Arabidopsis thaliana: one gene and its partner. The protein of the gene in region 2 interacts with the protein of the main gene of each other region in a pairwise test. Each region holds a gene or a part of one and is shown on either strand. Other genes may lie near its edges.

The links. Proteins that work in one complex are often made in the same cells at the same time.
Region 1: the proteins of AT3G25790 (region 2) and ERF4 interact in binary tests that used the Arabidopsis thaliana proteins (3 or more experiments, as listed by UniProt).

The regions. Positions count from the first base shown.
Region 1 is NC_003074.8:5,119,447-5,125,273, forward strand, and holds ERF4 (ethylene responsive element binding factor 4), read left to right. Parts: upstream 1-1,975; 5' UTR 1,976-2,025; coding exon 2,026-2,694; 3' UTR 2,695-3,116; downstream 3,117-5,827.
Region 2 is NC_003074.8:9,408,986-9,417,913, reverse strand, and holds AT3G25790 (myb-like transcription factor family protein), read right to left. Parts: upstream 4,863-8,928; 5' UTR 4,719-4,862; coding exon 4,574-4,718; intron 4,470-4,573; coding exon 4,174-4,469; intron 3,853-4,173; coding exon 3,633-3,852; intron 3,520-3,632; coding exon 3,443-3,519; coding exon of another isoform or gene 3,404-3,442; exon of another isoform or gene 3,299-3,403; coding exon 2,963-3,298; 3' UTR 2,674-2,962; downstream 1-2,673. Other genes in the region: AOC3 (allene oxide cyclase 3), read right to left, coding at 7,505-8,034, 8,306-8,552. UniProt on the Arabidopsis thaliana protein: Probable factor involved in nitrate and phosphate signaling in roots. Integrates nitrate and phosphate starvation responses and adaptation of root architecture, depending on nutrient availabilities.

The sequences.
Region 1 (5,827 bases), 4.3 Mb from region 2:
GTAGTATCTTCTTAATGAAACGTAAAGATAATATATTTAAATAAATGAATCTTTTTATTTTCTGATATCCAGCTGATTCTGTGGCCCAAGAAACCCAATCCATTATCCATGGCGTGAAGACATATGTAGCTGTCGTAAAAGAATAAACAAAGACCAATTAAAAAAGAGCCAATTAACAACCAAATTACATAAAATTTATTAAAACTAATCTATTAATCACACGTCTTGTTCTGCCGTCAGAATGTAATTACCGTCCGTCTTTTAGGAAACAAAGAACAAAACAAACGGCGGGCCCACCGCCGTTAGAATCTCTCTCGGTTAGCCGACGCGGCCACCATTCTCTCTCTCTCTTCATCCATTCTCCACGCGTCGCGTTGACCACGTGGCACTATACATCTTTAAAACTCTTTCTATTTTATTTAAATAGCGAGTGCGTTGTGGGCCATCTTTGTTTTTCTTTGGCGGAGGGGCGGCTAAATAGCCTTTTGTTTTTATTTTAGTTTTATTCCGCGAAAGAAAAAGCAGTCAAACTCCAAGTTGAATTTGGAGCTGAGTCTACGAAGTCACGCATAACGCTCTTTCTTTCACGCGATCGCCGTCGGCACGTGTTTGGCGGTGAGATTCACGCTCGTACATGGAAACGCGGTTCCCAAGCCGCGCGTCCTCAAGGTGTTGCCACGTATTTTACATTTTTGCGTCATCCAATACTGTTCTTTGGTTTCTTCTTCTCTCTTCTTTTCAGGCGCCGCTGCTTAACTTATTTCCTAGTTTTTGAAGTTACTCTTGTCTTTAACTCACACTGCCATATAGTATGACTTTATTTACCTGTATTTTCAAATTTTTACACACATAACAGTATCTTTAGTTGTTTATTGGTCTTACAAAAAATTGGGTATTTTTTAAACCAAAAGTTTTGAGATACGAAAACAAAATTGATATGATCTGAAAAATTAGTTACTCACATATTTGTTCAAGTTTTTTTCTCAATTATGCAAGCATTAAGGTTGATCCAACAGGTTATGAGAAAACAAACTGAGTTCATTACAAGTGTACTCACTAGAGCAAGCTTGTGTAGTTATATCCTAAATCATGAGGGTAAATGGCACATGACAATTCGTAGTTAGATTAACTATATATATTAAATTAAGATGTGGGATTACATTCTTAATTCCCTCGGTTATGAAAATCAAAATCTTATCACCAGCATTCAAGGGAATACGCTGTGTAGACAAAACAGCAAACAACATGCATCTCCATTAAATGCGTCAAATACTGTACGGATTTCTTTAGTTTTTTTGTTACAAATTGTATCAAAAGTTTGTTAGTACATTGTACATACAGATAACAAATGAATTTCACTTTTTAGATAAAATAGTTTACACAAAAAAAAAAAAAAAAGACTTTGCATCCAATATTTTCCACCACAAAATAAATCATTCAAAATACGGATTGATTAAATATGTATCATAGTAAGATCTATATTTCAAAATTTATCCTTATTTCATTAAGAACTTTAATGCAAAGATTACATAGTCCAATTAATTTTCTCATTGCCAAATATTAATAATTAAATTAAAGATCCAGTGATAAAAAGTTTTATTTTAAAATTAAAGTCAATCAAATTAATGTATTTAATTTGTATCTATATTTTTGACAATGTATTCAACTTTTTAAATACATCAATAAATTCATTAATAAGATGATCAACAAAAATTGAAAACGCTTGGTGAGGTTAAAAAAGAAATGAAGGGTTGATAAGAAAAACAAAATTCTTTGAAAGAGGAAAGAAAAACACGTGGCAAAAGATAAGTGGAGGTAAAAAAGAAAACCATGAAAACCGCTGGTGTTTTGTAAGAGAAGCCGCTAAAACCATTTCAGGCTTTGACTGTTCACAACAAAGCGCCCCAAAAGGAGCGTCGCTTTTACTCTCTCTCCCATCCTATATATAAACAACTCTCTCCTTTCCTCTTCTCCCTTCAATTATCTATCACACCACCACTCTCTCTCTAATCTATCTATCCGAGAATGGCCAAGATGGGCTTGAAACCCGACCCGGCTACTACTAACCAGACCCACAATAATGCCAAGGAGATTCGTTACAGAGGCGTTAGGAAGCGTCCTTGGGGCCGTTATGCCGCCGAGATCCGAGATCCGGGCAAGAAAACCCGCGTCTGGCTTGGCACTTTCGATACGGCTGAAGAGGCGGCGCGTGCTTACGATACGGCGGCGCGTGATTTTCGTGGTGCTAAGGCTAAGACCAATTTCCCAACTTTTCTCGAGCTGAGTGACCAGAAGGTCCCTACCGGTTTCGCGCGTAGCCCTAGCCAGAGCAGCACGCTCGACTGTGCTTCTCCTCCGACGTTAGTTGTGCCTTCAGCGACGGCTGGGAATGTTCCCCCGCAGCTCGAGCTTAGTCTCGGCGGAGGAGGCGGCGGCTCGTGTTATCAGATCCCGATGTCGCGTCCTGTCTACTTTTTGGACCTGATGGGGATCGGTAACGTAGGTCGTGGTCAGCCTCCTCCTGTGACATCGGCGTTTAGATCGCCGGTGGTGCATGTTGCGACGAAGATGGCTTGTGGTGCCCAAAGCGACTCTGATTCGTCATCGGTCGTTGATTTCGAAGGTGGGATGGAGAAGAGATCTCAGCTGTTAGATCTAGATCTTAATTTGCCTCCTCCATCGGAACAGGCCTGAGCTTTTAACGGTGTCGTTTCAATTCGAAGCGCATGCGTTTCTTCTTCTTTTTGAGCTGTGAAAATTCGTTTTCTCATAGTTTTTCCTCTCTCTCTCTCTCAGTCTAAATTTATTACCAGTTTTTAGAAAGAAAAAACAGATTAAATCTGAGAGAGAAAAATATAATTTTAGCTGACATGGATCGTTATGTACATATTATTACATAACCGGAGATCTGAACTTTTGTTGTGTGCTTTTAATTTTTTGCGACTTGGTTTCACCCCATGTTGTTTCTCTATTTTTTTTACTACTTTTTTTTTTTTTGTTCTTCCAAATTTTCAATCAATAATTTGGTAATCTTCAGAATTATCTTGTCCAATCCAATTTCCGAAATTTTGATTATTACTACTTGTGGGTTGTGGCGGCTCCTTCTATTGGCTTTCCTTTTCTATCGTTACCACCAAATTAAAAAAATTGAAGGGACTAAAATTACTTATTTGACAAAACAAAATAATTGTAAGTTGAAGTATAAGAAAAACTAAAATTCAAAGTGAGATTAATAAAATGGTAGTTGAGTATCGTCGGCTTTTAACAATGGTCCAAGTTTCCAGCAGACACGCAGCCGGCGTGTGTGGGCCCTCGTTTTGCTCTCTGCGGCGTAAGTTAGAAAATTCTTTGCGCTTACGTCACTTAGTAGTAGGGTCCACTCACAGAGTACGGACATACTCATTTCTTTTCTTTCTAGCTAACTTGGAAGAGTCTTGAAGCTGAGAGTTAACACTCTTTAGGTCTGACAGAGAGAACCTAGATTTTTAATTTGATAGATTCTTAAATTTGGAAAAGAAACTGCCACAAAACAAAGATAAGATTTTGTTCAATTTTTTTTAAGAAAGATCTCTAGTTTCGTAAACAAATTTTTGTCGGCAAAAAATGGAAAAAGAGTACACAAAGTCTCTAAAGAAACAACTATGACTAGTCTAGATATTGGTTTTTTTTATCTGAAAGCTTTTAGAATATATAGCTTATAGTGCAAAATTAATTTTCTTTAAACTATGACATTGAATTGATTCGGAGTTGAATTGGACTAAACCAACATCATTTGACCCGTTAAGCTAACAATAGTGTTATTTATAGATATTCTTTTGGCCAATTATTTCTAGATGGCTGGTCTTTTTGAATTTTATTTCGTTGTTTTAAATTTGTGCGGAAAGTAAATTTAACTTGCGAAATTTTTTATTGAATGATGGCGTGATGTGTTGAAAATGTAAATATAGGTACAAAACAATGATGTTAAAAGTTTGAAAGAAAACGACGACGTATAAGAGGGTGTGAAATAGAAAGCGGCTTCATAATGAGAGGCAGAGAAGAGAGGTTTTTGATTGGATTCTTGTCTCCAACTCCGCAATCAGAAAGAGTCAATAACTATCCTTTCGTGATTCTCGTGTAGATCCAACGGCTAGATTCTATTCTTATCCACGTGTCTGGATCATACACTTTCATGTTTATTAACTACGCAAAAAAAAAAAAAGAGTGAAGCGGCACCGACGGCCAAGCAGCGCGAGTCATCATCATCCTTTTCAGAAGAGACCGAATCAGAGACGGTGGCGCCCACATTCCCATTTTTTTTAATAATATATTTATGAGAATAAGACTTTTTAGTAGTATTATTTCAAAGTCTTTGTCCTCTCAAAGAGAGTATTTATAGCGAGTAAATTATGTTTACAAATATATATATATATCTAGAAATAAAGAATGTTTTTACGCATCTTTTATCGTATTCAAATAATTTCACTCAGACAGAATAGTTGAGGTATATTTTAGAAGTTAATTTGATAAGTTAAACTCCTGTTTTTAAAAGAGAGACAATTTTGCAGAGGAAAACATTGTATGCCCGTAACAGTTCATGAAGATAAAATCACTTAAAATAAAAAAATTAATATTTACTTTTCCTATTGGTAGTTATCCAAGTAGAAGTCCACCAATTATAATTGACCTAATATGCCTTAAAAATCCGGTTCGATTGACTCTGTTAACATATTTCTTAAGTGAAAACCGGAATTTTTACAGAAGATGTGTGTGGTTGAGCATATGGCGCGTGTGAAAGTGGCATGGGATGTAAATTCCGTGTTGACGAGGTTTATGTCGGGATATTGGGTTGTCTTCACGTGCATCTCCACCGTCCGATAAAGTTTGATTCTCACTGTCTTTCTTTTCATTTCATTGATTTATTATATATTTACTAGCCTTATTTGTTTACGTGAAGGACTCCGTAAATTGAGGTAATTTCATTTTGGCCCCTCATCTCATCATCTTGTCCCAAAGAAACCCCACCTCCCACAATTTTTCAATACCAGAAACTTTAGACAATAAGATTAATTTTTACATTAAAAAAAATAAAAAGAAGAAGAATATGCAGAGAAATAGGCATACTAATTATACACATGGATGATGGGTCATGTGTAGAATTAATAAAATACAGGTTAGTTGCAGATATGGATATCAGGATCACATCTTAATTAAAAATATATTAGCATTATAATATTCGAGTGGGAATAATAATTCATTTTAAATCTTAACCAAAAATAAAATACTGAGAGACACGTGTGAAACAAGATTAGCTGCGGCGGCCGCTTTTTCTTGGTGGAACCCACACGCTTCATACTAAGGTCATCCAGAATCTCAATCCCAACCAACCAGATTTTTTCCCTCCTTTTTCTTCTCACCCGATTCGAAGTCGGCTACATAATGTATCTATATTGCTTATTTATCTCATTTCTTTTGGTCTTTTACATAGAGAACCCTATCATTTATTAATCTCAACAAAAGTATCCCAATCATCCATTTTTATGGCACACTGCATTAAAAGCTCACAGGAAATTAACTACAGATCCATTACGCACCGCTTCAATATTAGTTTCAAAAGTAACATCATTCACCGGCATTTCATTAATTGGAGAAGATATTTTTCTCCTTGAGTAAATTTATTACTCGAGTACAACACGCATAAACAAATTCAATAAGATGGTTTTTGTATTAGATCAGTTTTCAATCGAATTTTCTTTTAACTATAAATAATGATTAGTAACATTTATCAATCCTAAGTTTCTAAGACTACGAGAGCTTCATAAAATTTTGCACTAACAAAAATTGAATT
Region 2 (8,928 bases):
GTCACTCAAACACTGACGTGAACCTTATACATATAAACCTTTTTAAGTTTCTTTTTCTTTTGCAGGTTACCAATCACTCTCCATGGAATACTCATTTGAGCAAGATGTTGGCATGAAATTGCCGTGGTGAAGGACGAGCTGACTCTATATCGATGGTGCCTCGACCTCGATCCTTCACCTATTTATTGAAAGCATAGTTTGAATCTCATTTTCAACTATGTATAAATTAATATAAACAATGCAGGTCTAGAAAATAAGCTCTTTTTTTTTCATTACCATTGACTGCCTAAAATAGTGATGTATAACTACTTTTTTACATGTTACTAGTTATGACTTTAAAATAATATACATTATTCTTTTCAATCATTTTTTTTATTTGTTACATGTGTAAATAAAATTTCAATTAAATAAAAACTAAAATTACGGCAATTGTTTTTTAAAATTAGAGACTATGTAGACGTACGATAACAAATCAAGATAACATATTTAATTTGGTCAAATAAATAGCAGATGAAATTAACAAAGGAAAAAAAATATAGCAGCTGAACTTTAAATTATTATAGCAAAATTATTCTGTGAGAAATGTTAGTATCTTGTTTTATCGTCCAAGATTTTCTGCAAATCTTTAAATTGTAGATTATCTAGTTGATTTTTTTCTATTTCAGGTCATTTACTATTTCCGTTCATTAAAATCAAAATTTAGATCGTCAAAACCTTTAAGTTTTTGGGAATTAACCTTTCGGAATTTTAACCTCGGGGGCTATAAACGGGCTTGGTCCATCTTCGTAAACTTTTCGGGCTCATTAGCCCAAAATTGTGTGCAAATGTGAAGAGCAGCTAGCACTCAACGTTAGCTGAATCCCAAATTGATACTTGTTTTGCAGAAATAATTAAAGAACATAATGAAACATCATGTTGCTATTAGAAAATTAGTAAACATTGTTACTTTATTACATTTATAGCTCTGAGACTATTTAAATAGTTTCATTGATAATTATTTTGTATTATTAAAAGAAAAATAAAATCAAACACGTATAGAACTGAAAGAAATCTGTTTCCATTTCAACCTATTCGTCATCGTGGATAGACGAAAGAATCCTTGGAAGGTTGATTAAAAATTTCACTCCTATAAGACTAAGACACCATGTCAAACTTGGTTGATCAATCCTAATCTTATATAAGAGAAGATTAAAACAAGATTAGCACGTACTATATATTTTATTATTGTTAATCAGAGATATGTTTAATTGTTTATGCACAAATGTAGATAAATTATGAACTAACATTATACAATTAATAATAGGTGTAGTCGAATATTCCTTATGGATATGATATTAGTTAATATGAGAAGTAATGAAGTATAGACCAAGAAAAAGCATTTGTTGCTTTACTATTTGTTTATTTTTCCATGGTTTGATCTCATAATGGTCTTAAAGTAAGTATCAAGAGCTATTTAGGCTTTTTATGACTCTGAAAGGTCACATAAAGATCCTGCTTCTAAGAGTTTAAAACCCATTCCAATCTATTAATAAATCATATCATAAGGAAACCCTAATCCGATTCCTGTTCTTTTGGATCCATCGTCAAATATTAAATTATTAATACTTACACATCTATAGAATCAAAGAAGTATTTGATAATAGTAATATTATTGAAGATTTGAAATAGATCAAACCGCCATCTCGGGAACTCCAATAGCCTTTCTCAATGTTCAAGTTTCCCAATGGTCTTCGTATTCAAATTAAATTATCAGTAAGAATATTATTAAAACTGTAGCCCCATTTGTTATAAAGGTAGTAGAAAAATAGGTCACATGGCTCATAGAGTCACATGAAAGGATCCCTAAATTTGTGAACACTTATTTAGTAACTTGGTAGGAATTTTTAAAGATATTTAACAACTTGGTATGATTTTTTTATGTTTGAGGTGATGAAACCATAGGAACCAAGAAATTTTGATTAAAGGATAACTTATCAATCGAAATCATTTTGATTATTGATTCAGAAAACCTCGCAAACGAACAACACTTAATAAACAACAGTGAGAGCGAACAAGAAAACCCAACAATTGTTGTTGTTATAGAGAATGAGTACAAGTCAAGAGATATTAATTGTATAGTAGTGTCGAGAGTTAGAATGGTCAGCAATTTTCATGTGGCTTTACACCTTGTTTCTTGCCCTTAAGTTACAAAAAAACTTGTCTTTTAACATATTTTGGGTTTAATATTTACACAGTTATATACTTATATGGAAAAATTGTATTTACAAAAGTAAAAGGAACAAATAAAGAATAATTCACTCCACGAGAAGGAGCCCAACGTGCACATTTGTGTTAATATCCAGTACAAGCAACAAGAGAATAAAGTTTAACCTGAAAAACATATTTGCAGATTATGCTCTTCAGATTCCGGCATATTCTACCGAGTTCCGATCCTTCTGTATGGCATAATTTTTTTTATTTTCATTCAAAAAAGTTTATATATGTATTTTTCTTCTGTTTTCGAAGACATTTTACATTTCTACAATGTTTCTGTGTATCTTATATTACTATAGCAAATAGAAACCTGGCCGACATACATATGTTAAGGACGAAATTAATTAATTTGAGTTTGTGACTGACATTTATTAATTTTGGTGGCTAAAGCCTCTATAAAAATATATGCTGATAATATACCATCATTCTACATATAATTACGATTCTTTCTATATACGATTCTTCAACTAGTAATCTAATAATTTTGTGTTATTAACTTATTATCATCGATATGCATATTGCACGACGTAAAAAAATATAGTATGCATTAGCTAATATGGATCTTTGATCAAAGATATCATCGGCTAATAGAAAAAAACCAAGAAACTAAAAATAACATAGAGTCACGCTCCAACATCTATATATATACACTCTTCACAATATTAATGTCTATAACTTTTTTCTCTTAATAAATAATCAAAAATTAAATTTATGATATTATTTTTGCATCTTTCGTCTTTGTACGAGTAGAACAAGACATAGCTGGTGAGCTACACCGAAAAAATCCGTTGTTAGAGCATCTTGATCTATCTTCCGAAATCTTCCTACCAAAATTGGAATGCCTCGGCCACTCGGACGGCAACGAACTGACCATAGGCCCATAAATCCCGGTGGTCTCACCCGATGCGACGGCGTTGACTGCGTTGGCCGTTGAATGGTTAGTCTGTGGGACCCATATTCCACCAACCACCACGAAATGTTGCGTTTGAGAGTTTCTGTTGTTCGGTGTTGTTTGGCTTGGCCGTCTTGCATGCAGCCTATATTTCTATTTATCATTAAAAAAAATATGAAACAATAAATATTATTTTCCTTCTAAATTATAAAAACATTTGTAACTAAAATGATGAAATTAATATATACCTTTTACATATTAGTTACATGTATTTTTCATGGAATATGATTTACTAACCTGTAAATGACTTTTGACTTCATCATTTGTTAACCCATCAACCTTCATTATATCTCTTATCTGTTTCGGCGTAGCTACTTCAAAATTTAGTGAACAAAAAGGTCATTACGAATTAATTAAACTTCATGAGCCCTAACAAAAAGATATGACTACTGATATATATGTTTTAACTTAAAACCAAGAAACGCACCATGAGGGCCACCAAGTTGTTTAAGAGCGTTCAAGAAGCGTCTGTGTAACTCTTGCGACCAACACCGCCTATTCTTTCTCTGCCCTCTTCTGCCACCGCCACCGCCACTGCCACCATCGCTAGTAGTCACCGGTGATTTTATGTTGTTGTTTTTCTTCGCTGCTTCATCGTTTATTTTTATCAACTCTACCAGCGTCTCTGTCTTTTCTTGTGAGCGATCCTGAATACGCAAAATGCTATTAGAAACTTAAATTACAAAACAAAATCTTTTTGTGAGCAATTTACTATCTTTTTGTGCACCCATCCTTTTTCGGTCTATTAAAAAAAACAAAAACTGGAAGAAAAAAGAATAATCTATTTGTGAAGTTGTAAGTTACAAACACAATCGCATAAAGTACACAGAAGGTTATGCGTTTAGTCTTTACGTTAACAATTAACAACGTCAATAGGCTGGTTTGGAAACAATACAGTAAATGTAATTCAAGGCAAACAAAAACACAAATGTAAACAAAGAAAAAATAAAATAAAATAAAAATCTTACCTGTCTATTATTAGAAACAACTGCGTCGGATTGGTTCCAGAGCTGAACAGACTTGAGCCATTCAGATTTCATGTTCTTGTCATCAAAATCTATGTCGGTTTCATGAGACTGGTGTTCTTCATCATCATCATCTTTGTCATCAACCTCTTCTTCTATGGAGGTCGAAGAGTGTTTGATTGGTATGAACAGATCCAAGATGCGCCCACATTCTCCGGTGGTCTGCTCTGAGCACTCCGACTGTCCGTATAAGTTATCCGTCGACGTCCCTGATATCTCCCTCTTATACGCCTCAATCGCTAAATTCCATAAAACATTTTTTAAAAATCTTTAGATCTAACATTTAATCCATATATATAAACTCATTATATCTTATATGAAATGTAAATGCATATGTATGTACCTTGAGTCACGAGCTCTACGCAAAGAGGAAGCTCGCGTTGGAAAACATTGATCTTGCGACGTTCTTCTTCGAGAGCTTCGATGTACTCGCAACATTTTTCACGTTTCTGATTGTCATTCTTCATATTACTTAAGTTCTTGATCATGCTGGTTTAAGGGACAAAACAAAAAACCAGCTTTGTTTTCGAATAATTGATAACTTTAACTATAAAGTTAGTCAAGAAGAGATGAGTTATGTCTCTTTATAAAGACAACGTATATATGGCTCTATAGGGTTTCTCAAGGATCATTATTTGAAAGAGAGAAGTCGGGCCGTCGCATTACAAGGCGAATCTTGCTTTTGTTTATAAAATAAGTATATACCTTCCCAAGTTAAATATTTTTTTTTCCCTTGTTGTATAGTAGTATTGATCCAGTGGTGAATATTCCTGGATGTGATTCCAAGTTTTTTTCGTGTGAACTTTATATTTATTTGGGTATATCCAACCAAGGTTTAAAGAAGTCCTATAACAACATTCATAAGTTAGAAAATGTCTGCGATTCCACTACAACAGAAATCGAATTTTGGAAGACTATAAACTATTCATTCTATTATTTTTACAAGTTTGATTATTATGTCATTTATAGAATTCAATACGTGGGAAAGAATATATGCAAATCCTTAAAAACAGCCGCCAAAATAACACTAAACGTGCATGAGCTCTTTTGTTCTGTAAGTATTAATTTCACCCACACAAAATCATATATAAAACGTTGAAAATGTATTTTTCAATATCCCAATATGAAAAGCCAAATGTCTCTTCGTAGACAGCCGAAACATGGGAGAAGAAAAGCCATATATAAAAAAAAAACTGTAATATACTTGTTGAAATTTCATAGGACCTTGAGAATTTGTTGAATTCGTTATAACCTTATCCATAAATACACATGTAAACTAATATATATATCCACACAATATGAGTTCCTATATATCTCGTGTTTTTGACCGGTAATTTTAATTATGTCAAGTAGACGATTACTAAGTACACCTACTAATATATATGCGAATGCATCTTCCCAGTATAATGGCCTGCCAATGCATTTCCCGGTCAAAGATATAACCTAATGCTACACATATCAATTTATATGCTATGCTGTTGTTATATCCATATAATTTGGAATTAGATATGAAATCAAACGTGATTAAGGGCTCTAATAGCTGTCAACTTTAATGATAAGAAAATATGTTGCCTCTATAGAAATTGGTGTGTAATGAGCTAATATGTTCGGGTGATGTCCAAAATATCAAGAAATTACCCGCAAATTGTTAGAGACCAACATCAAATTTATTACTCAAAATTTTAAATATCGATTTATATGTTATGATGTTATGATACAAATAGATCCACCTATTCGTAGTCTCGAGAAATCAAAATTGTGTTTAACAGGCTTATCTGTTTTGATTAGATTGAAACGTATTTTAAATAAAGAAATTAGTTGGCAAATAGAGTTTAGAGATGTATTTTAGTGTTGGATTATAATTGTCCCCTCGGAGTCTCAAAAGGCCATATTCAGTGTTCACCACTGGCCGCGGCCGAACAAAAAGACGGCCTCATGTATTGAACCCAACATGCCAACTTTATATACGGCCTTGTGTATTGTTTCCTACTTGGGCTCAATTTATCATCAATTTTTTCCACCCCTTTCTCGTATCTCCAATATTCGTATGCAATAGTACCACTAAACTCCCCAATATTCGTATGCAATTGTGAACCAAAAAAAAAGGTACCACTAAACTCCCCAACTTTGTGGGCTTCCCATATTGATATCAAACGAAAATATCTATATATAAACTTAAATCTAAAGTATAGAAGAAGAAAAAAAATCGCAAAATTGGTGGTAACCTATAAATTTTCAATTGTTTAAGATCAAACCAATGAACTCATCCTCCTAAAAAAAGATAGAAAACATAAACAAATACTGTATTTATCCTCAAATACTTCGTGATTTGTTTGTCAAAAAACTGGCATAAACGTTTAAAAGTTAGGTGATAATACCCAAGTGTCTCGGATCTATCAGACCCTATTTTTCAATTTGTATACTACTTGATATATGTTCTATGAAACTAAAATCTTTTTCAATAAAACGGATCACAAATCCGAATTTTGCATTCTCTCGTAGCTAAAATTCTCTCTTTTTTGGTATTACAAAAAAAACACCATCTTGGTTTTTATATTTGGTAAATAATTCAAAAAGTGCAAATAAGATATTTATTTTTTTTAACATTCGCAAAACTAAACTTAACTTTGTTCTTTTCTCATTTATGATCAAAACTTATGGTCAAAATCTGAACTTAAATGTCAGAAAGCTTACAGAAACATGACAATAATGTTCCTGACATATGATGAACCTACAAATAAAATTTCCCTCCAACACATGTTTTGACTGGTAGACACAATAATATCGATCTTTAGAGTATAACAATATTACACGATTCACTTGACAAGATGTTAACTTCTCAATTTAAAAAGATAGCCAGCAATAACTAGGTTGCTTTTTTTAGTTTTAAATATCTGTGCCAACAACAAATTAGCGTTAAAGCATTATGACATTAACACAATTAACACCAAAACCATAACGAACCAAAAAATATTGTGTTACTAATTACTAGCATTAACTCCACTACCCTAACTGTGTATATGAGTGTACCATTTTAAACCATAAGATTAAAGGTTCTAGCTATCAATTTATTCCGTGAAAATACCGAAACTAATGTAAAAAGTTTTACTTTGAAATCGAGTACAACAGTTCCACGTTGTAGAAAGACCAGTTGTAATCAATAAAGTCACATCAAAATAAATACTTTATTCCCTCAACACATCATTAACTAACCTCACACAACTCATCAAAATATTCTATTACAAAACAAAACAACTATTAAACAGCTAATTACTTAATTAGTAAAGTTACTTATAACTCCACTAGGCTCCATCGCCTTAGCTTCCGGTGCCGGTTTCACATCCTTCGACGGCGTAACCGCCGTTCCAGTAAGCTCCAGCGGTAAATCATTAGCTAACCCTTTAAGGTAAAAAGTGTAGAACAGTTTTGTCGGATACACAAGCTGACGAAGCTTAACCTGTCCGTACGCACCTTCAAAGATTCCAGAGCCACCAGTGACAGCGAGGAACGTGTCTTCATAAGTCAAGTATTGTCCTTGTACAGACAAGTGACCATAGTCACCAAAGTAGAAGCTGTAACTAGCTTCGAATCTGTCACCGCTCTTTTCAGGAACGTGTTGGATCAAAACGCAGAGACCTGCCGTGATTCCCACGCGTTTCTTGAGATCGCCGGTGTAGAGTTTGTTTGTGAATGGGACGAGATCTCCGAGACAAAGCTCTGTTGGTTTCTTGCCGAGTTTAAGAACTGCTGGACTGTTTCTATCTCCTTCGTTGAGCTCATACACGTTTAGTTCTTGGATCTTACCTGAATAATTAAAACTCGAATTTATGAATTCGGTACTTTGTTTTTTTAAGATCTGATTATTTTTTAGACCAATCAATTTTGAGCAGGGCATTTAAAGATCTAATCGATTTTGCTTATGAAATAAAGCATTTTGATTTCTGAGCTAACAAAAAGGATTATTAGTCTTTAAATCTTGATTTGTCTCAAATCTAGGAAAAATATCGGATTAACAGGCGTTGACTTAGTCGCAGTGTACTAAAAGACAAAAGGATCTATAAACTATTAAACTTACTTGGTCTGGAGTTTTCGGTCTTCTTGCCCCAATTCCAGAAGAAAGCTCGAGTAACGTTGAGGTTCTTGGAAGTAGTAGATCTTGATCGGGAGGAGAAATCTGGACCGTTAGATGAGATTCCAAGGTTTTGGAAAGATCTTGAGAAACCAAGAAGAGAACTGCGGTGAGATTGATGATTACGAGAGAGATTGTTGAGAGTTGTCATAGAGATGGATTCAAGAGACATAGCAGCAGAAGAAGAAGCCATTGATCAAGAAGAGTTTAAATTTTTTGATATATGATTGACTATTAAGAAGAGATTGATCTTTGGTTTTAATGGTTGTTGAGTTTAGTAATGAGTCTATTTATATTGGACGATGATGAAGTAACACGTGCGTATATGTCAAAAGATGCTTTGTGTAGTTTCCACTCGGTTTCGAATTGTCTAAAAGCGTTAGCTAGAGAATTTTATGTATTTATTATTTATCGACTTAAAACCGTGTAATATTTATTGAGTACTACGAGATCTCAAAGTAATGGGAACATACTATAATAGTCAAAAGATATAAACGTAGCCTGCAGGTCTTCAAACTCTTGTTGGTCAGACTGTTTTAGTGACATATATATAACTTGGTCGGTTCGGT